Ovis aries: one gene and its partner. The protein of the gene in region 1 interacts with the protein of each later gene in a pairwise test. Links are inferred from orthologs where the notes say so. Each region holds a gene or a part of one and is shown on either strand. Other genes may lie near its edges.

Evidence for each region.
Region 2: the proteins of AGR2 (region 1) and FABP2 interact in binary tests that used the Homo sapiens proteins (3 or more experiments, as listed by UniProt). The two-hybrid records come from large-scale screens. The link is inferred for Ovis aries from reciprocal best matches to the Homo sapiens genes AGR2 and FABP2.

What each region holds. Positions count from the first base shown.
Region 1 is NC_056057.1:26,281,604-26,293,774, forward strand, and holds the start of AGR2 (anterior gradient protein 2 homolog), read right to left. Parts: upstream 5,865-12,171; 5' UTR 5,592-5,864; intron 2,905-5,591; 5' UTR 2,898-2,904; coding exon 2,759-2,897; intron 2,499-2,758; coding exon 2,435-2,498; intron 2,318-2,434; coding exon 2,265-2,317; intron 1,012-2,264; coding exon 938-1,011; intron 1-937. UniProt on the Homo sapiens protein: Required for MUC2 post-transcriptional synthesis and secretion. May play a role in the production of mucus by intestinal cells. Proto-oncogene that may play a role in cell migration, cell differentiation and cell growth. Promotes cell adhesion.
Region 2 is NC_056059.1:6,359,306-6,371,491, forward strand, and holds FABP2 (fatty acid-binding protein, intestinal), read left to right. Parts: upstream 1-5,672; 5' UTR 5,673-5,709; coding exon 5,710-5,776; intron 5,777-6,927; coding exon 6,928-7,100; intron 7,101-8,099; coding exon 8,100-8,207; intron 8,208-8,565; coding exon 8,566-8,616; 3' UTR 8,617-8,900; downstream 8,901-12,186. UniProt on the Homo sapiens protein: FABPs are thought to play a role in the intracellular transport of long-chain fatty acids and their acyl-CoA esters. FABP2 is probably involved in triglyceride-rich lipoprotein synthesis.

The DNA of each region.
Region 1 (12,171 bases):
TGAGCAGGTCTGGATGAAATTGTCCATAGAGAATATAAAATATGGAAAGAGAAATAGGTCGAATAGAGATCAGGAACTCACTTATATTAAGGGGATAAATGGAGAAAGAGGAGCCTGTGGAAGGAGGTGAAGAAGAATGGCTGGTATGGATGCTCCTTGAAGAAGCTCACCTGTCAACCCAGAAAGAGGAGAGAGAGAGAGAAGTCCCGGGTGACGAAAGAGTCTTCTGAGTTGTTTACTGATCGCTTGCCTTTGAAACAGAAGTGGATCCTGTTTCTACACCGAGTAGAACTTATAAAAACAGAAAGCTTTACCATGAAGAGAGGTGGTGATGGCCAATTAGGATAGGGAAGCATTGGCCCACAGCATTCGTGAAGTGATTAGATTTGGCCACCCAGAAAGCTGTCTCTTCCAGAGAGAAGAGAGGGCACATGGAGGGGTGGAGAGCAGCCAGGGCTGCAGGGGAAAGGGGCACAGCAAGGAATTGGTAAATGACAAAGACTTCCCGCTTATTACAGCAACCAAGAAATCCCGGACCACAGGAGAGTGTTATTCAGACAGTTTAAAATTATTAGTCACTAAACAAAATCCCTGAGTTGGAAGATTGCCTAGAGAAGGAAATGGCAACTACTCCAGTATTCTTATCTGGGATATTCCACGGACAGAGGGGCCTAGCAGGCTACAGTCCATGGGGTTGCAGAGTCGGATACAACTGAGCAACTGGGCATGGATGTGATCACATATATACACACACACGTAAACAAAAATGTAGACACGCAAGACAGATGCAAAATAAAATCTTTTCTCTCTGTAGTCTATGAGATGTATTCAGAACAGATCCCCCCGTTAAAGTAGTATGATTAAGACATAGAGAAAGAAGGAACCATCCATTTCAAATACTGAGAGAAATGGTAGTGAGGATGAAGAGCTAACTTACAACTAGATTGAGGAGGACAAACTGGTCTGCCAATTTCTGGATTTCTTTATTTTCAGCAAATGCCTTCTTTAAAGCTGTAATGCAAAGAAAAATAGTGAAGCATTCATCTCATCACCAGGTGAAACCATTGTTCTCTGTTAGATTTTAAACTGAACTGTATTTTTAATACAGTATTGAACCACACCCTTTCTGCAAATGGTTAACAAAGAAATATCTAGACCATTGACCAGCTTTGTTTCTCCTGCTCAGTCAGTCAATCATTCATCTCTTAATTTTTTTTTAACCCGTGTTTACTGAGTGGTTACTATGTGGCAAGACTGTTTCATGTACTGGGAATAAAGCAGTGGGAAAAAAATAAAATGTGCTTTCTTCATAGGACTGAAATGCTTGTGTAGGAGACAGATCATAAACAAGCAAGTAGTTTTAGGTGGAGATAAGCACTTTGAAGAAAAAGAAAGCAAAGCAAGAAGTTTGAAAGTATAGAATGTTCAGGGAAGAGTTCTTTGAGGAAATGACATTGAAGTGAGAGGCTGATATGTTCAAAGATATTAGGGATGCATCCTAGGGTAGCCAGGTAGGTGCCTGTCACAGAGCTAGGCAAGATCTCATCTAGGTGTGGACCAGGGCAGTAGCAGTGAGGTAGTAGGAAGTGGCTGCATTTGGGCAGCAGCTATGTAATATATGAGGCCCAGTGCCTGTCTCAGAGGTAAAGAATCCACCTGCAATGCAGGAGACTGGGTTTGATCCCTGGGTTGGAAAGATCCCCCTGAAGAAGGAAATGGCAACCCACTCCAGTATTCTTGCCTGGGAAATCCCACGGACAAAGGAGCCTGGCGGGCTACAGTCCATCGGGTCACAAGAGTCAGACAGCAACTAAACCATCATCACCAGTGCCAAATGAAAATATGGAGCCCTTTGTTCAAAAATTACTATGACTTTTAAGATGGCAACAGCTGATCTTTACAGCAAGCATAGGAGCCTTCGAAGCGCTGTGTCCTGTGTGATTGCACAGATGGTGTGCACAGGAGGCTGGTGCTGGCCTTTGGACATACTGTGAGGGTAAATCTTTGGTATTTGTTGATGTATTGAATGTGGGATAAAAGACAAAGCAAGAAGTCAGGGATGAATTCTAGAGCTGGTATTTTCAAACTGTGAGCCAATGGTTAACACAAAACGTGGAAATATTTGAAGTTACTGTGTTTACTACATAAAATATTCTTTTTAATTCAACTGTGCTGGGTGCTAAGGGTATAAAGATGAGAGATCTGGACCCTCCCTCTAAAGCTATAAACCTATAAAAGAAATTATATTTAGAAGTATAAATTACCTTGACTGTGTGGGCATTCATCCAAGTGGTGAATAATCATCAAGGGTTTATTGCTTCAAGAGACAAAGAGAGATAGGATCATGTTTAATGAGTAGGATTTTGTGTGTCACTAAAGATCGCTAGATGGCTCTCTTGAGAGCTTTGAGAGAGTTCCCTAAACTTGTCTTTACCTTGTCTTGGATTTGTATAAAGCTTCTTCATATGTCTGGGTCCAGATGAGTTGGTCTCCCCAACCTAGAACAAAAAAACCCAGTGTATCTAAAACTGTTATGTTTTCAGACCCAGAGCTGTTGATAAACAGTTGTAAAACTGGGATCATTATATACTTGATACTAAAGAAGAGCAAAAACCTCTAGAGAAAACAGAAATAATGGTAAACTTTGATAAATGTAGAAAGAACACATACAAAAATTTGTTCACACAGATCTCAGGCCTGAGAGTTAAATCCTTCCCAATTAAGTATAATTGGAGGCCAGCGGGAGTGTGACTCCTACCTCTGGAGAGGGTCTGGGGCAGTTTGAGTTGAGAGTCCTTTGTATCCTTCTTAGCTCCTGGTTTGACTGTGGTTTCTTTGGCCAGAGTGTAGGAGAGGGCCACCAGCAGCAGGAATGCTGACACTGGAATCTTCTCCATGGCAAATCTGATATGGAAAACAAGTAAATTAGCAAGAAGCCAGTAAAACAAAAAGAAACTGGCAATTTTTCAAAGTCTTTAGATTGCAACCCAAGCGTGGGACACAACAAGAATTGAGGCTTAGATGGGATTGAGCACATGCAATTGGAGTGAAAAAATACCTTCCACAGAACTTTCCTAAGAATGCATAGTATAAATTTCTATCTATCCACCTCTATATAAGATCTGTATAGAAAAAAAAAATATACTGATGAAGATCTCCATAGAAATATACAATGTAGAAATAGATACAGATATGTTTTAAGAAAATTAGGAGATAGATGTATATATTCTTATAGTTAAGGGAATTTGCTTTTAAATTTTATATTTTTCATAAAAAACATCATAGTAGAAGACAACTTAGGAGTTATATCCTCTTTCCCCACCTCCCCAGTGTCTCATTTTGTAGATGAAGAATCTGAAATTCAGAGAAATGAAGACCAATGAGAGGGGCATAGAACCAAGGCTTTTGGATCTTGCCACTTTGCACTGCTGGCTCCCATCTTCCCATTTGGAAAAAGTTGCCCTAAACATACATATTTCTTTAATATTTGTTAAAATGGGGACACTGCCATTGAAAAATAAGATCTGAGTGAAATGATTTATTTCATTTAGAAACTGCCAACTTTTTATCTTTTAACTAAAGGCTTGCATACACACAGCTCTCTCCCTAGTGTAACATTTACTCAAACTCTAGATATATTGGTTCTGAACTGGTTAAAATACATCAGTGGAAATTTCTTCCAGTGAGCTAATTCTTTGACACTTAGTGTGGGCCTGTATAGGTAGGTGGTTGTGCACAAAATATTTCTATTTTATCCCATAAAATATTCTATGGGACTCATCACACAGAGAGACCAATCTCGTAAATGTCTCTTTGTTAATTTTTCTTTTCTTTCCAGTATTCCAAATTTAAATATCAGGAAATGTTGTACTATTTCAAAGCAGATACTTTTGAATGGGAAAGAGAATAGCAAGGTAAGGTCCATGAGTGAGTGAGGAAGTAAGTGAGCTAGCAAGGTGAATTGCACTAACGAATCACTAGGGCTGTCCAGGGACCATGACGTGCAAAGCTGGAGACTTGGGATGCTAGTAAAGCCGAAGACTGAAACTGGTTAAAAAGAAACACCTAACTCTAATATTGGTGTGTTTCAAATTAAATGAACTCTGCAAGAGAAACAGGATGGACCACCAATGTTCAGTGTTTTTAAGGGGTAAACTTTCTCATATTCTGATAGCAGGTTAAGCATTGTTGTTTAGTCGTGATGTCATGTCCCACTCTTTTGAGACGCCTTGGGCGATAGCCTGCCAGGCTCCTCTGACCGTGGAATTTCCCAGGCAAGAATACTGGAATGAGTGGCCATTTCCTTCTCCAGGGGATCTTCCCAACCCAGGGACTGAACCCACATCTCCTGCATTGACAGGTGGATTCTTTACCATTGAGCCACCTGGGGAAGCCTTTGTTAAGCATTAGCCAATTAAAAAAAAAAAAGGCATTGCTAAGTTACCAAATCCAGATGATGTCTTATATTAATCTGACCAATTATTGTCTATGTCATAGTATGTAGTAGCCACGCAATGTCTCACAAAAAAGATGTAAGCAAAAACAGGGATACACTGTCTTCATTTTCTATATCCATAAAGATACAGAAACGCCAGTAACAATTTTTGTATCCAGTATTTTGCACAAGCACCCCAACTGTGCTACACAAGTCTTCTAGCCTTTTTGTTACAAAGACTTCTTCTTCATGCCAACAACACTAAAAACCAAGAACCCTTATGTGAGAATAATTACACTATTCAGGATAATGGTTGATTCAGAAAATATCATGCAAGTAATGGCTTGAAATTTATCGACAAACGTTTGATTTTATATTTTATGTATGGCAACAAATGTATATTAGCAAAAATAGCAGTAAACAGGTGGTGAAGTATTTATGTAATTCACTGACAATTCTTGTGCAAGTGGCCATTAGGACCTCTTTTTATAGCTTTGCAGCTTTCAGATTGGAACTATTGATACCTCATACATGTTTTATGGCAGAACGACTCAAGGGAGCCGAATATAACTCCTGCTGTACAAACAAGATTTTCTGAGATTCACTGTACTGTTTTCAACACATCAATTTTTAGTCCTGAATTGACTGTGATCTGCAAATTGCATGCATAAACCACCTCAAAACAGAAAGCTAACCATGGAGGACACTGATAATTTGGAGACACACACACACACTATGAAACCAGCACTTTTCACTGCTCACTATATCTCTGTCTTCATCAACGAATGCCTTGCAGGAGGTTTCAATGTCCTTGTTCATAAATGCTTTAGGAAAGTAACCAGATCTCTCCTTTTGCATTCTGCGCTATGAATTTAAAGACTGAATAAGCAATAAGGATATCTTTATATCAGACACAGAAGGAAAGCTATTTCCTGATTTGCAATAATATTCTGATCGGTAATCCCCAGCAGCTTATCTGAGCTGACGTTTCACAGCCCTGTGGGTCTTTGCTTTGCCAGTAAGAAAGAAACAAGCATTAGATGGTGATCAGGGCTCAGTAACCAAGACAGGAGACCCTGGGCTGTGTGTCAGGCTTGAAAACTCCAGGAGTTGGCTCGCTCTTAAACCTCTCATTTTCTGGGAGAGAAACCATTACCTTGAATCAGCTCAGGAACATCGCTTCACAGAGAGGTTCTAGGAAGCCTCTGGTGAAAATTCCATCAATTCCCTCTCCAAATCCCATTTTGCTGCTCCTGGAACTGCCCCGCACTCCTCTGCCTGTGGATTGCCTACACCTTTACATGGTAACCAGAGGCCAAAGCTCATTCTAACAGGTGCCCGTCTAACAATACTGTCAGGAGCCTTACCTGGATCTCCCCACCCACCTGTCTGTGTGAGCCAGGCGGCCTCGATGCAGTCCAAGCTTCCTAGTATGCTGGCTCAGCCCACGCCTCTATTTATGCACCTGAGCACACCTCAATCCCACCCACTAATCCTGTATTCACATGGTGCAGACTCTGAAAGGAACTTTTCTTTCTCCAGGTCTTCCCGGGGCTAAAGAGTTCCCTGTTTTTAAAAAATAATGTTGCAGAGGGAGTCCCTTTCAGTATGCGTGCCTTTAACTCTTTGTGAAAGCATATTGTTAAGAGATTTGAGAAAGGTGGGCAGAGTGCCAAATCCAGGTACAGTTTAAATGAAGACATTTGATTTGCCTGAAGGCTGATTTGTCTTTATGTGATTGGATGGAATTTGTGGTTTGTAGAAATTTTTTTTTTTTTTCTCTCTCTCTCGGGCAGATTGCCTCTATTTAGTTAGAAACACACAAGAGATGATTCACTGTTCTAACCCCTACACTCATATAAGCTGCTGTCCTCCATTATGGTATAAATTATTTCACACAATGTACTTCCTTTTCTTGGCAAACAAAATGTGTATTCACTGTAGGTACGAAAGTAATCCAAACCAAGAATTCCTATAATATATTAAAACTAAGGAAGTTATTGAAAAAAAGATATCCTAACACTATGAGTTTTTATTAATCACCTTGCAGGAACTCCTCTCCAAAGAATTCAAAGGTATTTCACAGATATTCTCTCATTCAATGGCAAACTTTACTGCTAAACATAGCAGGAAGCTATTTCCATCATTTTTCACACCTATAAACTAAGATGTGCAACTACTTTCTCATTTAAATTTATGCAATAGTTCATTCAACATTTTAAGACTGGACTTGGGTTTTCTGTAAAAAATTTTAATCCTGTGAAAACTATGTGTAATCCTTAAAAGTTCAGAACAGAAAAATCTTTAACAACAGAAAGTTAGCTAATGATATGCAAACCCTATAAAAATAAAATTTGAAGTGAGTTGAGATCATACTATTTCAAAATATTTTCAAGCAGGTGAATTTTTTGATAAAGCCTGAGTTTCTGTGGGCAAAATAGGAAGGGATTTCAAAAATGGTGAGTTTTCATTTGAAATGAATTCACAGAAATAATCTCTTTAGGAATTTGAATAAAAATAATGATTTGAGCTCAACTTTGAAAAGCAGTAAGCCTTTTATATGGGCTTCCCAGGTGGCTCAGTGGAAGAGAATCTGCCTGCCAATGTAGGAGACACGGGTTCGACCCCTGGGTCAGGAAGATCCCCTGAAGGAGGAAATGGCAGCCCACTCTAGTGTTCTTGCCTGAAAAATCCCATGGAAGAGGAGCCTGGCAGGCTACAGTCCACGGGGTTGCAAAGAGTTGGACACACTTGAGCACCCACTTCACCAAATATTCTTGAAGCCTGATTATGTAGCAAACACTATGCCTGACATTAAAGATAGGAAAATGAAAAAGACATGGTCAGTTATTGAGGTAGACAAATACATCCATGGACAGTTGCAATTCAGGATGGTAAGCCATACCCATGGGGAAACAAAGACATTGAATACATTATCTCTGCTGTAAGGTTATTAATGATCTGATTGAAGAGTTAAGATTGACCCACACTAAAAATTAATCATCTGCATGAGAAGAGCATGCCATAATGGATGGGTAAAAGACCTTGATGCTGGGAAAGACTGAGGGCAAGAGGAGTAGGGGTTGACAGAGGAGGAGATGGTTGGATGGCATCACCGACTCAATGGACGTGAGTTTGAGCAATTCCAGGAGATGGTGAGGGACAGGGAAACCTAGCATGCTGCAGTCCATGGGGGTCACAAAGAGTCCAACACGAGAAGTGATGAACAACAAGTGGTATAGGTATCAGCTGTTATTATTTTTCAGAGGAAATAGAGATTGCTAGTCATGAAAATGCTCGGACTAATGCTAGACAGCAAGGTTTCCAGGTGCAGACAGTGATAAAGAATTTCCAGAATATGTTTGTTGGATATTTAGTGGAACCACCCCTGGCTAGAGTCAGATACATCTGGGAAACTCATAAACAATAGGTTTGAAAAGTTGTTTGGGGGCTATTTGATTTACCCGGGACCTTGAATACTGTTTTAAGGAGCTTAGACTTCATCCTCAAGAGGAAGTGTCCTGCGATGGTGAAGGGGGCATTTTATAGATTCACCTTTGGTTTGAGTTCAAATTTAGTGTGATGATTACTACGTATACTTCTAACTCCTGCAAATTACCTAACCTCTCTGTACTTGAGTCGTCTTCCTTGTGAAGTGGAAACAGTAAGACTCACTTTATAGGATCTGTGGAAGGTTATATAAAATAATTGAGAAAAAATATTTAGAATGGTACATAGCACATAGTAAGCACTGGAATATACTATCGATGGTACAGAACTTGCTTCTCTATGAAAGTCACTTAGCTGTATGGGGGCTTCTGCGTACAAATACAATCGTTTCCCATTTCTTGGGATGGACAGGGAGGCCTGGCGTGCTGCAATTCATGGGGTTGCAAAGAGTCAGACACAACTGAGCGATTGAACTGAACTGAACTGATACTCTATTAAAAGTAAAATGTAAACACCTAGTTCTTCCTAGATCTAAAACTTTAAAAATGTACAAATTTTGTTTATTTGTATAAAGTATACAAAAATAATTTGGTTTTGATTAGAGAAGTTTTGCTGGAGAAGGAAATGGTGGCCCACTCCAGTATTCTTGCCTGGAGAATCAGGCAAGGTTCCTGCCAGAGGAACCTGGCAGGCTATAGTCCATGGGGTTACAAAGAGTCGAACACGACTGAAGCGACTCAGCACAGAGAAGTTTGGCATAAAATTCAAAATCTATTTTAATTTTTTTTATTATAGTAAGAAAAAAAATCACATGAAATATAGCTATCCTCTTAACCAATGAAGTGTACAAGATGATATTTTAAACTATAAGCATAATGCTGTAATCAGATATCTAGAACTGGTTTCTTTTTTAAAAAAATTTTATTTGTTTAATCTGCTCTCGGTCCTTGTTGCTCTGAGAGGGCTTTCTCTAGTTGCGGTGAGCAGGGGTTATTCTTTGTTGCAGTGTGTGGGGTTCTCACTGCCCCGGCCTCTCTTGATGTAGAGCACACGCTCTGGGGCGTGCTTGCCAGCTCAGTGGTTGCGGCTTCTGGGCTCCAGGGCACAGCCTCAGGAGTTGTGGTGAACAGGCTTAGTTGTTCATGTGGCACGTGAAAGCGTCTGGGACGAGGGATGGAACCTGGGTCCCCTGCATTGGCAGGCCGATTCTTATCTACTGCACCACCAGGGAAGTCCTAGAATTTGTTTCTTGCTATTTGAGTAAAATAAGTATCATCAAATTAAACTGACCTAAATCAGATAGATTACATTTCAAAATGTTCAACAGGGTACATTTGCCAACATAATGACCCAAACTTTTCTAAGCACTTTAGCAGTTCTTGTAAATATCACAAATTAAAGTTACTGATTAGCAATTCAGGTTATATTAATCTTATAAATATTTTTCACAGCCAAATACATTATAATTCTAAATTAAAAATCCTAATTCTAGTCACATTCTTAATTAGAGTCACAGACCAATATTCAGCTTCTCTAAAAGAGGTTTCTGTTATATTATACAAGCACTTCACTAACAAACACATAAAGGTTTTTCCACTATTTTCAAAACTTATTCTTCAGCTTCACCTGGAAGTCTTAATACTACAGATTTGAGTTACTTCATTGGTTACTTCATCAATAGAAACTTTTTTTCTATTCCTTCTAGGGACTAGTGAAGAGAAAGCAGATTTACCTCTAGGTTGGACCTATTTCCTGAGTCTAGAATTAGGGACTCTGATATGGATCAAAGACTGTGACCCAATCACTGATATATTTGATGTTATAGATACAATTAGATGTATCTCAAGGGAAAGTGTAGAGAGGAAGACTCATTACCAAACCTTGATAATTTTTATCCATTTAGGAGGATGAGGAAAAGAAGTGCTTCTAAAGCACAAGAAATAATCTCTTTGTACAAAGACATACATTTCCAGGACCACACCATTTCCTGAATCCAGGGTTAGTAGTAACTGCAGAGCACAAAACAGCAACCAGCGTTGAATGCAGGTGGTAGGGCTTAGAACTGGAGAAGAGAGGCAGTTGAATGATTTCCAGAGCTCTCTGACATCTAGCCAAGACACTTGTATAATACACTTGATTGTATAAAAATCAATTGCCTTCAATCAAAATTCATGAATGTCACTTGGGTTGAAGTAATGAAAAGCCAAATTACCTGGTGCAGCGATGTATTACTTTCTTGGGTCATGAGTAAAGTGACTATATTCTCAGTTTGCCCAGAAAATTCTCAGGTTAAGCCTGTTGTTGAGCATATTAACTGAGAACATCCCCCTTTACTTTAAAAAGTCTGGTGATTCGGGCAATAAACTACATAGTCTAGGTAGATGAAATCTACCAATGTTCTCTGTAGGAAAATAATTGCTTATACACATATAATTTTAGGTGGCTTAGATAGTAAAGAATCTGCCTACAATGCGAGAGACCTGGGTTGGGAAGATCCGCTGGAGAAGGGAATGACAACCCACTTAGTATCCTTGCTTGGAGAATCACATGGACAGAGGAGCTTGGCGGCTCACAGTCCATGGGATCTCAAAGAGTTTGGACATGACTGAGTGACTGACAGAGGTCTCATTCATATACTGAACTTAATCAGAAGACCCCTTTGTGGGACCCATAGACTAAGGTTAAAAACAATATTGCTCGAATGTTCAAGCTTCTAAGTGTAGCTGTTTCAAGGACCCACAACTTTAGAATTTAGCATTTAGCTCTCTGCCCTTGTTTTATAGCACCACCTTGTATTTCTTCCTGTCAGAAATGTTATACCATGGCCTAAGTTGGAAAGAATGCTAGTCTCAGAGTCATTCAAGTCTTTTGCTGGCCTTGAATAAAGGCCCACAGTCAGAAATCCTTTTAGATCTGCGTGGAAGTGGAGCTTAGAGGGAAGGGGGAACGAAAAGTAATTTATGGGGATTCCCTGGTAGCCCAGTGGTTAGGAGTTGGTGCTTTCACTGCCGGAGCCCAGGTTTAATCCCCAGTTGGAAAAGGCAATGGCACCCCTCCCCAGTACTCTTGCCCTGAAAATCCCATGGATGGAGGAGCCTGGTGGGCTATAGTCCATGGGGTTGCTAAGAGTTGGACATGACTAAGCGACTTCACTTTCACTTTTCACTTTCATGCATTGGAGAAGGAAATGGCAACCCACTCTAGTGTTCTTGCCTGGAGAATCCCAGGGACGGCGGAGCCTGGTGGGCTGCCATCTATGCGGTTGCACAGAGTCAGACACGACTGAAGTGACTTAGTAGTCGTAGTAGTAGGGGAATTAAGATCATGCAAGCCTAGAGGCAGGAGGTTAAAAAAACGAGAGAGAATTTGGGTATGAAAATGAGAATAAAGAACATAAGAATTATACAAAAAGTAATTTATAACATATGAACATCCAAAGTAGATAAATTATTTCCCCATGAACTCTATCTTTTAGAAGATGGGTATTTTTAAAAAAGTTTTGCCTATTTATTGAGTGTGCTGGGTTTTCGTGGCCATGTGGGCTTTTCTCTTGTTGCACAGAGTGGGCTGACTCTCTAGTACATGGGCCTTATGTGGTGGCTTCTGTTCTATGGAACACAGGCTCTAGGGCACAGGCTCAGAAGTTGCAGTGCACAGACTTAGTTGCTCTGTGGCATGTGAGACCTTCCCAGACCAGGGATCGAACCCATGTTTCCTCCATTGGTAGGCAGATTCTCTAGCACTGAGCCACCCAGGAAACCCAGAAACAAGCTGAGTATTTTTAAAGGGAACATGGACATCATTCTTTAGAGCCTGAAGGGGAAAATCTCATGAATCTTTAGAACTTGCCATTGAAGTGATTTGCTACTAATGAATTTGGAAGGTGGGAAACAGGGGTCATTTAAACAGATATGTTTGGATCTGGCAACTACTTTGGCTATATATGAAAGAAGGGTTTCACGTGCATTAAGGAGACGTGTCCTTAGCGGTTGGAGTCTGACCTAGAGTCAATATTGTTACATGACAAATACACTCCTTGGGGTGGAGCCTTGAACAAGCAGAGATGCTGTCGGAAGCTTGTCTGTCCTAAGGATGCCAGTGACTTAAAAAGGAAAAGCTTAATCCTCCCTTCTGAGGTAGCTTTACTTTGACTCCAGTTCTATAAATTTCTTCTCGTAATTCTTTCACCTCTACTTCTTTGTGTGTATGTGTGTGTGCCCAGTCACTCAGCTCTAAAAAAGTGTTCTTTTCCTTATGATTTTTGCATTTGATAAATACTAATAAGT
Region 2 (12,186 bases), on another chromosome or scaffold:
TGATGGCACCATTCACTGATACAGGACCTGCAAGAGAGAACAAGGCTGAGTGGAATGTTAAGGTCCTTTCCAGCTTGTGGGGTCTGAGGCACCAACTGAACTTGCAAACAGAGCAACTTGGTAAGGAATAGGTACCTGGTAGGAGACAGATCTGGGCTGTACCTTAAAATTTTAATCCCACAGATGGAAATTGAAGACATGGGAATGGCAAAAACAAAGAGATCCTAAGATGCAACTTCAAAATATAAAATGTTGGTTGAGGAAGAATTGCCCATGAAAGAGCCTGAAAAGGACATTTAGAGAAGAGGAATATGAAGAAAGAATAAAGTCAAGAGAAGAAAAGGAGAAATTTCAAAAAGGGAGGAGTCCATGGTCTAGAATGCTGTAATGACATAAAATAAGGGCCAAGGCAAGTGTATTGGATTTGGCAGCAAAATAATTCATCAACGAGCTTAGTGAGTAGTTTCAGTGGAGCGGTGGATATGAAAGCTGCACTGCAGTAGACTGAGGCTCTAATAGATGGTAAGAATATGGAGACAGTACAGATCACTTTTTCAAGAAGACTGGCTATGAGGGGGAAGGAAAAAGCCAGAGCAGGTTATAGAAATGCCAACAGAATCCAGGGAGAGTTGTTTTCATTTCTTAAGATGAGAGAAACTGGATTATCATAATGTGAACAAGAAAAGATACCACCTCACCCAGATATAAAACGAAGACATACAGATAGAAAAAAAAAAATCTTTGCAGGTACCAAATTATTCTAATTTCAAGCCATGCTTTCTCTTGACTGAAACTGAAACTGTATGTGTTCATCATTCTATCTCGGTAATTTAGCCCAGCAACTAGGTCATAATGAGAATTCCAATATATGTTGAATGAATAGGTGGGTGAAGAATTTATAGAAGTAAATAAAGTAGTTACAGGTAATACTGAAAATGAGAACACATAAATTGAGAGAATTATGGCTTGCTGTTTTATTTTTCATTTGGGGGTATACAAAAGTCTTGCCAGGCAGGGTATGATTCCTCTGAAACTAGAGACCATCCATGTGTAATAGCACTTGGGACAGCAGAGGAAGTATTTTATTGGCAACATGTATTGATTGGATAGAGAATGCAAACAAACCAGGAGGGGGCTCCAAACTTTGGGGGAAATAGAGGAAATAACTGACTGAAGTTCTCGTCAAGCTAAGAACTGATGGTATGAGGAAAATGAAGAAGCCGAGCAGATGAAAATCTCTGAACACAGAGTGGCATGTTAAGTTTCACAGGAGGAAAATCTCTAGTAGTGACAAATCACAAGTTGTAGCCCTGGATGTAGTAGGATAAAGTGTAGTAAAGCTAAAGGTTATTAGAGATTAGGAGATTGAGGCACCGTGAGGCCAGAGTGACAAGTATCTTATCCACATGGACTTTGAGCTCACCCAAGATGATGGCAAGACACAGTGGGACAATAAGAAGATGGTGAGCCCAGTGCCAGGATTCTCCGTGATAGATGTTAGATAACAATGATAAACGGGGACAGACAGTAGATAATGATAGATGGATTAGATGGTAGATAATGATGATGAAGTAGGCCAGAAGCTGACAGCCAAATGGAAATGGTCTCAAAGGAAAAGATTTCCGTAAAGGAGAAGGAAATGGCAACCCCCTCCAGTATTCTTGCCTGGAAACGTCATGGACAGAGGAGCCTGACATGGGAGTCCCTGGGGTTACATGACTGAGCTCACAAGCATGAGGGCAGAGGGAGACTCGTTGGTAGCAATAAACCGGTAGAACTAAAAAAGAAAAAAAATGTCAGAAACGTAATGGGTGTGGGAATGGGGAGCGAGAATGCAAACCCATCTTCCTCTGACTGTGGTATGAGGGGCATAGGAAATGAGCAAACTCTCACTCAAACTGCTGGAGGGAGACTCATTATTTGGGTGAACAGACCCAGATTAAAAAAAGATAAGGCAGAGACTTCCCTGGTGGTCTAGGGGTTAAGACTTCATGCTCCCAATGCAGGGGGCCTGGGTTTGATCCCTCGTCAGGGAACTAGACCCCACACGCCACAACTAAAGACCCCGCAACTAAGACCCAGATACATAAATATCAAAAAAAAAAAAAAAAAAGGCAGAAGAGGCAGTCACAAATCCTTCACATAACATCATTCAACCAACACATGTGGATCCTATAAAATGGCTGCCTTGCTAACAAACACATGAAAAGATGCTCAACATCACTCATTACCAGAGAAATGCAAATCAAAACCACAATGAGGTACCATCTCATGCTGGTCAGAATGGCTGCTGTCAAAAAGTCTATAAACAATAAATGCTGGAGAGGGTGCAAAGAAAAAGGAACCCTCTTACACTGTTGGTGGGAATGCAAACTAGTACAGCCACTATGGAGAACAGTGTGGAGATTCCTTAAAAAACTGGAAATAGAACTGCCTTACAACCCAACAATCCCACTGCTGGGCATAACACTGAGGAAACAGGAACTGAAAGAGACACGTGTATCCCAGTGTTCATTGCAGCAATGTTTATAATAGCCAGGACAGGGAAGCAACCTAGATGTCCATCAGCAGACGAATGGATAAGAAAGCTGTGGTACATATTCACAATGGAATATTACTCAGCTATTAAAAAGAATGCATTTGAATCAGTTCTAATGAGGTGGATGAAATTGAAGTCTATTAAACAGAGTGAAGTAAGCCAGAAAGAAAAACACCAAAACAGTATACTAACGCATATATATGGAATTTAGAAAGATGGTAACGATGACCCTGTATGCAAGACAGCAAAAGAGACACAGATGTAAAAACCAGACTTTTGGACTCTGTGGGAGAGGGCGAGGGTGGGATGATCTGAGAGAATAGCATTGAAACATGTATATTATCATATGTGAAACAGATCACCAGCCCAGGTTTGATGCATGAAACAGAGTGCTCAGGGCTGGTGCACTGGGATGACCCAGAGGGATGGGATGGGGAAGGAGGTGGGTGGGGGGTTCAGGATGGGGAACACATGTAAACCCATGGCTGATTCATGTCAATGTATGGCAAAACCAATACAATATTATAAAGTAACTAACCTCCAATTAAAATTTTAAAAATGGCTGCCTGTTGTTAATGACAATTAGCAGGTTGCACTCACCATTATTTGGCAGATACATCCTTGTACACTGCTGTAACTTTATAGCCTTTTTTGGAAGAAAATCAGCCATCAGTCTCACACACAAAATCCTAAAACATAATTTAAAAGGTCTTAGTGTTTCTAAAATTTAGAGGCTTATGGTTAAAACAGAAGGAAGCAAACTCTGTAGGCAAACTTCAGAATTCTCCCTCATTCCCCATTCACTGCTAGGAACTGGACAGGTGCTTTAAGACTTTTCTGCTGCTCCTTACATCTGTCCCTCAAATCCTCTTACAGGGCCCTCAGAGAAACCACTACCTTTCTCTGACATGTAAAAGTTAAATAACTTGGCACTGAAAAGCAGGGTTCAGAAATTCTGAAAATGCTATTTCCCATAAGTGATATATATTTTAAAAAATAGAAAAACTTTCCCTTCAGCTTTACAACAGGCTAAAAGGGTTTCTGTGATCTCTAGAAAACCATTCTTTGTAAATGAGCTTGAAGCATCGTACTGTCCCTCATCATGCTATCACTCTCTGTACTTCATGATGATACAAATGAGGGTCAGGCATCAACTCCTTTTGTCTTTTATGAGCTACGCTGAGGCTCTTAGAAGGTCACTGCACTCGAAAGCCGTGGACTCACCTGACCCAGTCTCTGTGGCTCAGGACATGTTTCCTGGAGCACTCAGTGACCAAGCTGTGACCTGAAGCAACAGAAAGCAGGCACATTCACAAGACTGAGGACTGCAAGGAGTTCGATATATTAGATCTCAGAGTACACAGTAAGGAATGACAGGAGACCCAAGATATAAGAAGGGGCGTCGGAAACCACGGTAAGGAATGTGGTTTGTACTTTCTCTTGGAGGAATGGGACAGGGATGAACAGGAGCTTCTGCTGACTTCCACTACTTCCACACAACTCAGTGGCTGACGTGGACTGCGGAGTCCATACAGAGAGTACGACTCTCATATAGAGGGTACAACTCTACCTCTTCAGCATCAGTACCACCCGCCCCCGCCCCCACCAAGCACCTCTACCCCACCCACTTTCCCAAGCTGCAGAAGCAGGACCCTAAACCTTCTAGTATTATCAAAGAAGAAAATAAAGGACTGAGTCGGCCCTCAGCTGACTGCCCAACTGTATCATCAGTATGAGAGGTCTGTAAGGGAAACTGGCCACTGGTTCTGTATGACCTTTTCTAGATGGGGTCCAGGTAAGAGGTAAGAAGATACAGAGCTTGGAAGCTGCAGGGAAATGTATGATGTTAAAAATCCAATCTAATCATTTTTTCAAATGTCAGTGATTCCACGCTATAGAGAGAACAGGGATTTCTAACTGATTTTAAATTAGGTTACTGCTACTGATAAATGGAAGATGAAAGGTTAACATGGCCATTTGTTAGCAGGTCTGCATGGGTCCAAGTGCTATTTGCCCTCATCTAATCTTATTCTGCTCTTCCTGGGAAGCCCAAGGTAGCCATGAGATAAAGGGCAGTGTTAGGTGAACAATGGTAAGAAGCCATTCTAGGTGCTTCCTCCCCACCTTCTGGAGTCAGGCACTTGTATTTCAGTCACTGCGAGATCACAGAGAGGCAAGTTGTATTTCCAAAGGGAGCTAAAGCACTACTCTGATCTTAACAGGCAAATCCAAGTCCTATCTGGTCCCAAGTTAATCACTAGTACGTGTCAAAAACTACCTAAATAAACACACTTTAGGTGACTTTCTAATAGACAAAAGAAAATCAAGGATTTTCTTAACCAAATATCAAGGATTTTCTTAACCAAATACAGTGGTTTGAGTACTGGGAAAGTAAATACAGGAATGGTTTTAGTTAATGGCATAGCTGACATCTGGCTTTCGTTTTTTCTGCACATGGCAGATGTCTACAGATTCTTTCACTTATGGGAGTTTTCATGACATCCATCCATGTTTCTACCTCTTGAAATTTTTCTTAGTGGCCTGCCAGCATTTAAGACCAAAACAAAAATATAATCGGTCCCTATTGTGTGTCATGCACCGTACCAGGTGCCAGGATATTTACCCAAAGTCCTGGAAACCCAAAAACACACTGCAAAAGGACATATTAGAAAAATAAATAAAATTCCAGTCTCAATATCCTATTAACATAAACTTTTCAGCTGTATTTGGTCATGAAGTCTTACATTACTTACAAGGTAATTGCTGTTATAAAAAAGGGATAGGTCATTAATAGTCTCATTTTCCAAAACCTATTTGATATATGCTCTAAATTATGCTACATCCAACAAAGTGTGCACTTTGAACTTGCAAACAGAAAAACTATCTTCATACAGAATGCATTCTAACTCTTGAAATAATTGTACCTGTAAGTCATAGTTTGAGATAGAATACATAGGCTTATCATGTTTATTGCTGTTGAATTTCAGAAGGGGAGCTAAGAAATTTATAGAAACTAGAAGGTTTGGCATTAATGAAGTCAAGTGGCCTCTTGAACTTTAAACTTCCACATCACAATATGAAGCTGGTTCTAAGATAAGAAATAGAATAAATTCTCTCCTAAGGACGGACCTGAATCTCTGATTGCTCAGAAGCTGAGTTAACTGGAGACCATGGCGTTTGATGGTACTTGGAAGGTAGACAGAAATGAGAACTATGAAAAGTTCATGGAAAAAATGGGTAAGTGCTTAATACTTTAATAGCTTGTTCTTTTGTTTTTCACAGACATCTTTAACTCCTTCTAAACCTCAAGGCTTAGGCAATGGCACCTGTTGTGCTGGTGAGGATCAAGAATGCGTGCTGGTTCAGTGTAGGGAAAACCACACTCTCACTTCTTACATTAGAAAGAATACACTCTCACCAGTGGAAGAAAAGATTTTGGGGCACTGTTCTCTAAAACACAAAAAACATCCAGATATGTTTCATTTATGTCAACTGGTGACTGAAAATTGAATGGTTTTTTGTTTGTTTTCTGTTTGTTTAGAAAGTAAAATATGGCAGAGCATAATGATAACTTTCATACTTTAAAATATTAAATTCTAGGGGGTGGAAAAGCAAAGGCCATTTAATAAAGCAATGGAAACAAATGAGACTTAATTCTCTTGCTCTGGCTTGCAGAGCTTTTGGAATGCTCTCACGACAGCATGTAGTTCCTACAGAAGTTTTAATTTAACAGATTTGAATATCTATACCACTACTCTGGCAGCCCATACACTGAGCACTATGGGCAAAAAGATTGGTCATTCCCTAAAAATAAAAATCTGCATCAATTATATCCTGTAGTTTAGGAATTCCAAGTTCACATTTCTTATAATAATGAATTTCATGTAATATTTGCTAATTTTCTCATTTCTATGATAGAAATACCACAAAAAGCAAAGAGAATTATGAAATTCAAAATTTTAAAGCCATGGAAAGCAAAGGGACATTAAAAAAGAAAGTGTACCATACATGTGGAATTAAAGTAGTATAATCCTTATAAATATATAAATGTACTTTCTTAATCCTTCATTTGATATCCCTGGAATTTGATTTACTTAACACTGAAACAAAAATATTTATAATTTTTTAAAAAATTAGTTCTAAGATTCTACAATTCTATGCTTCATTTAATTTTTTTTCAGTTTTAGAAAAATAGTTTGATATGATTGAGCTTGTACTTTTTCTACAGAAGCAATCTGAATGCTCTTGTGCAAAGGCAATATGATCAGGTATTCCTCTTCACCCACAAAATATTAACTGGTTAATGAACTAGTTAAAACAGAACTTGGAAAAGTAGCACCTTCCATGGCATTTTGACTTTATTTCCTCCAATCTCTTTCCCTTTGCAGGTATTAATGTGGTGAAAAGGAAGCTTGCAGCTCATGATAATTTGAAACTGATAATTACCCAAGAAGGAAATAAATTCACAGTCAAAGAATCAAGCACTTTTCGAAGCATCGAAATTATTTTTGAGCTTGGTGTCACTTTTAACTACAGCCTCGCAGACGGAACTGAACTCAGTGTAAGAAATTTTTTATAAGCAAAGCATTCCTGATTTTTCTACATACTACAAAAATAATCTCTGTTTTCTTCCACTGGATCGCTTAATGAATGTAGGTCTCCTTCATTTACTGAAGCAGTCAGTGGAGTTTGTCCATATTAAACATCATACAAGTTAGCAGAGTATTTAAAAATGTTTTGATTTTCATACGTATCTATTAAAGAACCTGGATTAAGCAATTAGAAAAATATCCTTTGAATGACTGAGTATACACCTATTTCATAAAGAAAATTTCAGTGTTTTCAACATATCTGACAGCAATAAAAGCTTCTAGAGCTATCTAACTTAAATGTAATAGACATGGAATTGAAATGATAAAATAAATGAATAAATTAGAAGGTGTGACCAAATAGAAAGGTCCAAGGTCACAATGTAGGTCTCTGGGAATTCACTTTTTACTATTGAAGATAGAAAATTTTAAGATATAAAATGGGGTCACGTTTTTCAACTGGTTTTTAATAAAATGTTTCCACTTAGAACTTTTCTGGTTAAATTAAACATGTTTGCAATGACAATTAAGCTGCCAAAGATTTTATCAATTATGGCTGCATTTTAACTGTTAACCACAAATACATAAATTAAATCAAGCACAAGCTTGTTAACTTCTCTGTGAAACTAATATGAACCATGATTAAACTTAGAACACTCTTTTTAATGTGAATGACTTAGTAAAGAGAAGCCCCAATTATCTGCCTTACGATTCAGCACTTGGAAACTACAGAGCCAGATGGTTACCAGCATGTACTCTAGAGCCCCAGTAATCTAGGTGCAAGCTTGGCTTTGTGACTTTAATTACTGTATTTCAGTTTTTTCATCTGTGCAATGGAGAGAAACATATTTACTTCATAGGGTTACAGTGAAGTTTGAAGAAGTAGATCTGTAGGCCTCAGAACAGTGCCAGACACATCTAAGACCCTTAAAAATGTTTTATTATTATTATTATTTTGAAATCTTACACAGGGGGCGTGGGCCCTGGAGGGAGATAAACTTGTCGGAAAATTTAAACGGTTGGACAATGGAAATGAACTAAACACTGTCCGAGAAATTATAGGTGGCGAAATGGTCCAGGTGAGTTATTTTCCGAAGACAAAAATAATTACATAGCAATGATTTTTATCTGGGGGGTTGCTGAGTTAAATCATCAACAAACAGACTATTACTTTTCTCATAAATATTACTGAGTTTTATAGGTATTTTCTGATGCCTATTTGAAGAGAACTTATGTACGTCAACACATTGAGCCTATTTTAACCGAAAATGTGACTACAAACCAAAACATATTTTTAAATGAATGTCTCCTCTATCTGTATAAAATGTGGCTATCAAGAAAAAAAATGCATTCTGAAGCTAAACTCTACTAATATTTTTCTTAATTGAGCCTCTAATCTTAATGTCAAATTCTTCTTCGTTTGTGAACACCTTTCAGACTTACACATATGAAGGTGTGGAGGCCAAGAGGATTTTCAAAAAGGAATGAGCACTGTTCCTGGAGCACCGCCCAGAACACAGATTAGACGGAAAATCTGTACTGAACCAGAAATGCTTTCCTCTCCTCATCTGGTATAAAGTTGCTGATTGACTAGATCTTTTATAAGCATTGGTGAATGGCTTATATCTCCAGTCTCACCAAAGAAAAACATGTAAAAGCTAATTAGGATTTAACTTGTCTTAAATTTTCTAAGATGTATTTACTGGTGTTCTAAAAGAATGTGACATTTTAAAAAACATATGAATAAACATTGTTCCCACATTGCTTTAAAAGTAGTCTCTCTTAAAAAAAAGACATATGCATTAATAGACTGTTTTGGGTTTTTCCCCACATTTGGTAAATTAAAGACATATACTGCATGGGGGTCTTTATAATCTTGTACTGGTAAATATTTCCCTTAGCAACATTTATTATAAAAATAATACATATTTAACCAGAAAGTTTAGAACTAAGGAAAACAAATGCAAAATAAATATTTCCATAACCCATAAGCCAGAGAAAATCACTATTCTGATTTTAATAGAGATCCTCCATCTTCTCCTCTGGCTGCGGATTTGTGTATTTCTCCATACATACATACCATTCTGAACAAAACGACAGGAAACAAATGATGTGCTAAGGTAAAGTGCATTTTATTTTTCTGCATTGCCAGTGATTCCCAGACCTGGGTAAGCAGCATGATCATCTGAGAAACTTAAGAACTGTTTGCATGCTTAATCTCTACCATTATCCTATTAGGTCAGAATCTCTGAAAACAGAACCAGGGATTTTAGAGAACTCCCAAGTGGTTCTGATGCAGCAGGTACACTAAGCAGTCTTTGAGAACAAGTGGGCTATCAGGCACCAAAAATGTCATCTTCAAATGTCACCCCTCCCCTTTTATTCATAAACACATACACTGACAGTTTTTTAGGTTCCCAAAAGTTTTCTTTCACTCATATACTCACATAATATACTACTTTATGTATTTCAACCAATTCCATTTTAGGTCGGTATGCATACAGGGGACAGAGGTGGTAAAGTTTTTAAGCATTTGGCTCTATGGACTTTCGTTTTGACTATTTTTCACATTGATGAAGGTAATAGCTAACATTTATATAGTTCTTACCAAGTTCCAGGTACTGTTCTAAGCTGTATATAAACATGGCACATACATTACAATGTAGAAAGAAAAATGTTTGTGTACATGTTGAAGATGAACAGATTAAAGAATATAATCTTTTACAAAAACAGGAACTTAAATCCACTGTTCATTTTATAACTTTATTAAAATCTTCACATTGAAAACAGTAACTACTTAGATTTTTCACACTTTCTAGAAATAAAGGTTCAAAGTGCTTCTACCTCTAGGATCTTGTCTACATATGTGAAGTAGGAAAAGGGCAGGAATTAATTTCATCTGACAGTGGAAAATCTATAGTATAGAGAAGTTTATTCGCTTGTCTAATGTTGCAGAGAGTCCATAAGGAACACAGGAATTAAATGTAGGTCTTGACTCTTAGTACATTATCATCTATGCTATTACTCAGCCTACTATAAAGAAATATATCTTTTAAAAAAACACACAAAAAACCCTTAATTCTTTCGTGGCACCCAAGAACAGCACTCCAAAGGAGTCAGGGCAGACTGTAAAACAATGGCAATTAAGTGGTTAGGCACTTATCTATTTCTAGCCTTATTGCAGGCTCACTTTTTTTTGTTAATAATTTACATCCTTTCTTAGCACTAAATCTCCACTATTTATTAGTACTGGAGAGCAGCGTATTGTTTGCTAAGTGACTGCCATTGTTATAACCTCTCTCTGGGAAACTGACCTTGAAACTGACCTTTCAGTGCCAACTGAAAGGACCTAGAGAGGGCGTCTGACCCAACAGCAACAACTCTAACACAGTCTGGCCAGTTTATGAACTCGCAGAACGAACAACAAACTGAACCTAGAATGAATTTCAGAGATACACGATAATTGGTAGAAGGAAAAAGGTTTCAAGAGGACAGAGAGGGCAGACAGTAAGTAAAAACCATGAGTACAGAAGCTATGAGCAAGCAAGAGCCGCAGGGTAAACTACAGAATACCCTGAGGAGCAGTTATTACAGGAGCAGCTGGGTGGTAAAAGCTGAACATTTACAAATGGAATATGGCATTTGGGGTTCCCTTCAAACTGCTTCCTCCCCAATCTAGGATAGGGGAGGTAGTGGAGAGTAGTATAGCAGAAATGAGGTTGGTCACAAGTTGACAATTGTTGCAGCTGTTTAAAACAATCCCCTTATTACCTACCTATCTGACATGCTGACGCCTGACAGGTCCATTGTATACCTAGTAGGAAAATTAAACTTATCTCCCTACCTCTGTATGTGTTTGACATTTTCCATAACAAAACGTTAAAAACTTTAACACATACCTATATAAATCCAGACGCCAACCACTTCCCATCACTTCCACTGCTATCATCTTGGTCACCACTAATTTTTCCCTTGATTACTGTCACTGACTCTTTGCGACCCCATGAATTGCAGCATGCCAGGCCTCTCTGTCCATCACCAACTCCCGGAGTTCACTCAGACTCACATCCATCAAGTCAGTGATGCCATTCAGCCATCTCATCCTCTGTCGTCCCCTTCTCCTCCTGCCCCCAATCCCTCCCAGCATCAAAGTCTTTTCCAAGGAGTCAACTCTTCGCATGAGGTGGCCAAAGTACTGGAGTTTCAGCTTTAGCATCATTCCTTCCAAAGAAATCCCAGGGCTGATCTCCTTCAGAATGGACTGGTTGGATCTCCTTGCAGTCCAAGGGACTCTCAAGAGTCTTCTCTAACACCACAGTTCAAAAGCATTGATTCTTCGGCGCTCAGCCTTCTTCACAGTCCAACTCTCACATCCATACATGACTACTGGAAAACCATAGCCTTGACTAGACGGATGTTAGTCAGGAAAGTAATGTCTCTGCTTTTGAATATGCTATCTAGGTTAGTCATAACTTTTCTTCCAAAGAGTAAGCGTCTTTTAATTTAATGGCTGCAGTCAACATCTGCAGTGATTTTGGAGCCCAGAAAAATTAAGTCTCACACTGTCTCCACTGTTTCCCATCTATTTCCCATGAAGTGATGGGACCGGATGCCATGATCTTCATTTTCTGAATGTTGAGCTTTAAGGCAACTTTTTCACTCTCCTCTTTCACTTGCATCAAGAGGCTTTTTAGCTCCTCTTCACTTTCTGCCATAAGGGTGGTGTCATCTGCATATCTGAGGTTTTGATACTTCTCCCGTCAATCTTGATTCCAGCTTGTGTTTCTTCCAGCCCAGTGTTTCTCATGATGTACTCCGCATATAAGTTAAATAAGCAGGGTGACAATATACAGCCTTGATGTACTCCTTTTCCTATCTGGAACCAGTCTGTTGTTCCATGTCCAGTTCTAACTGTTGCTTCCTGGCCTGCATACAGATTTCTCAAGAGGCAGGTCAGGTGGTCTGGTATTCCCATCTCCTTCAGAATTTTCCACAGTTTATTTTGATCCATACAGTCAAAGGCTTTGGCATAGTCAATAAAGCAGAAATAGATGTTTT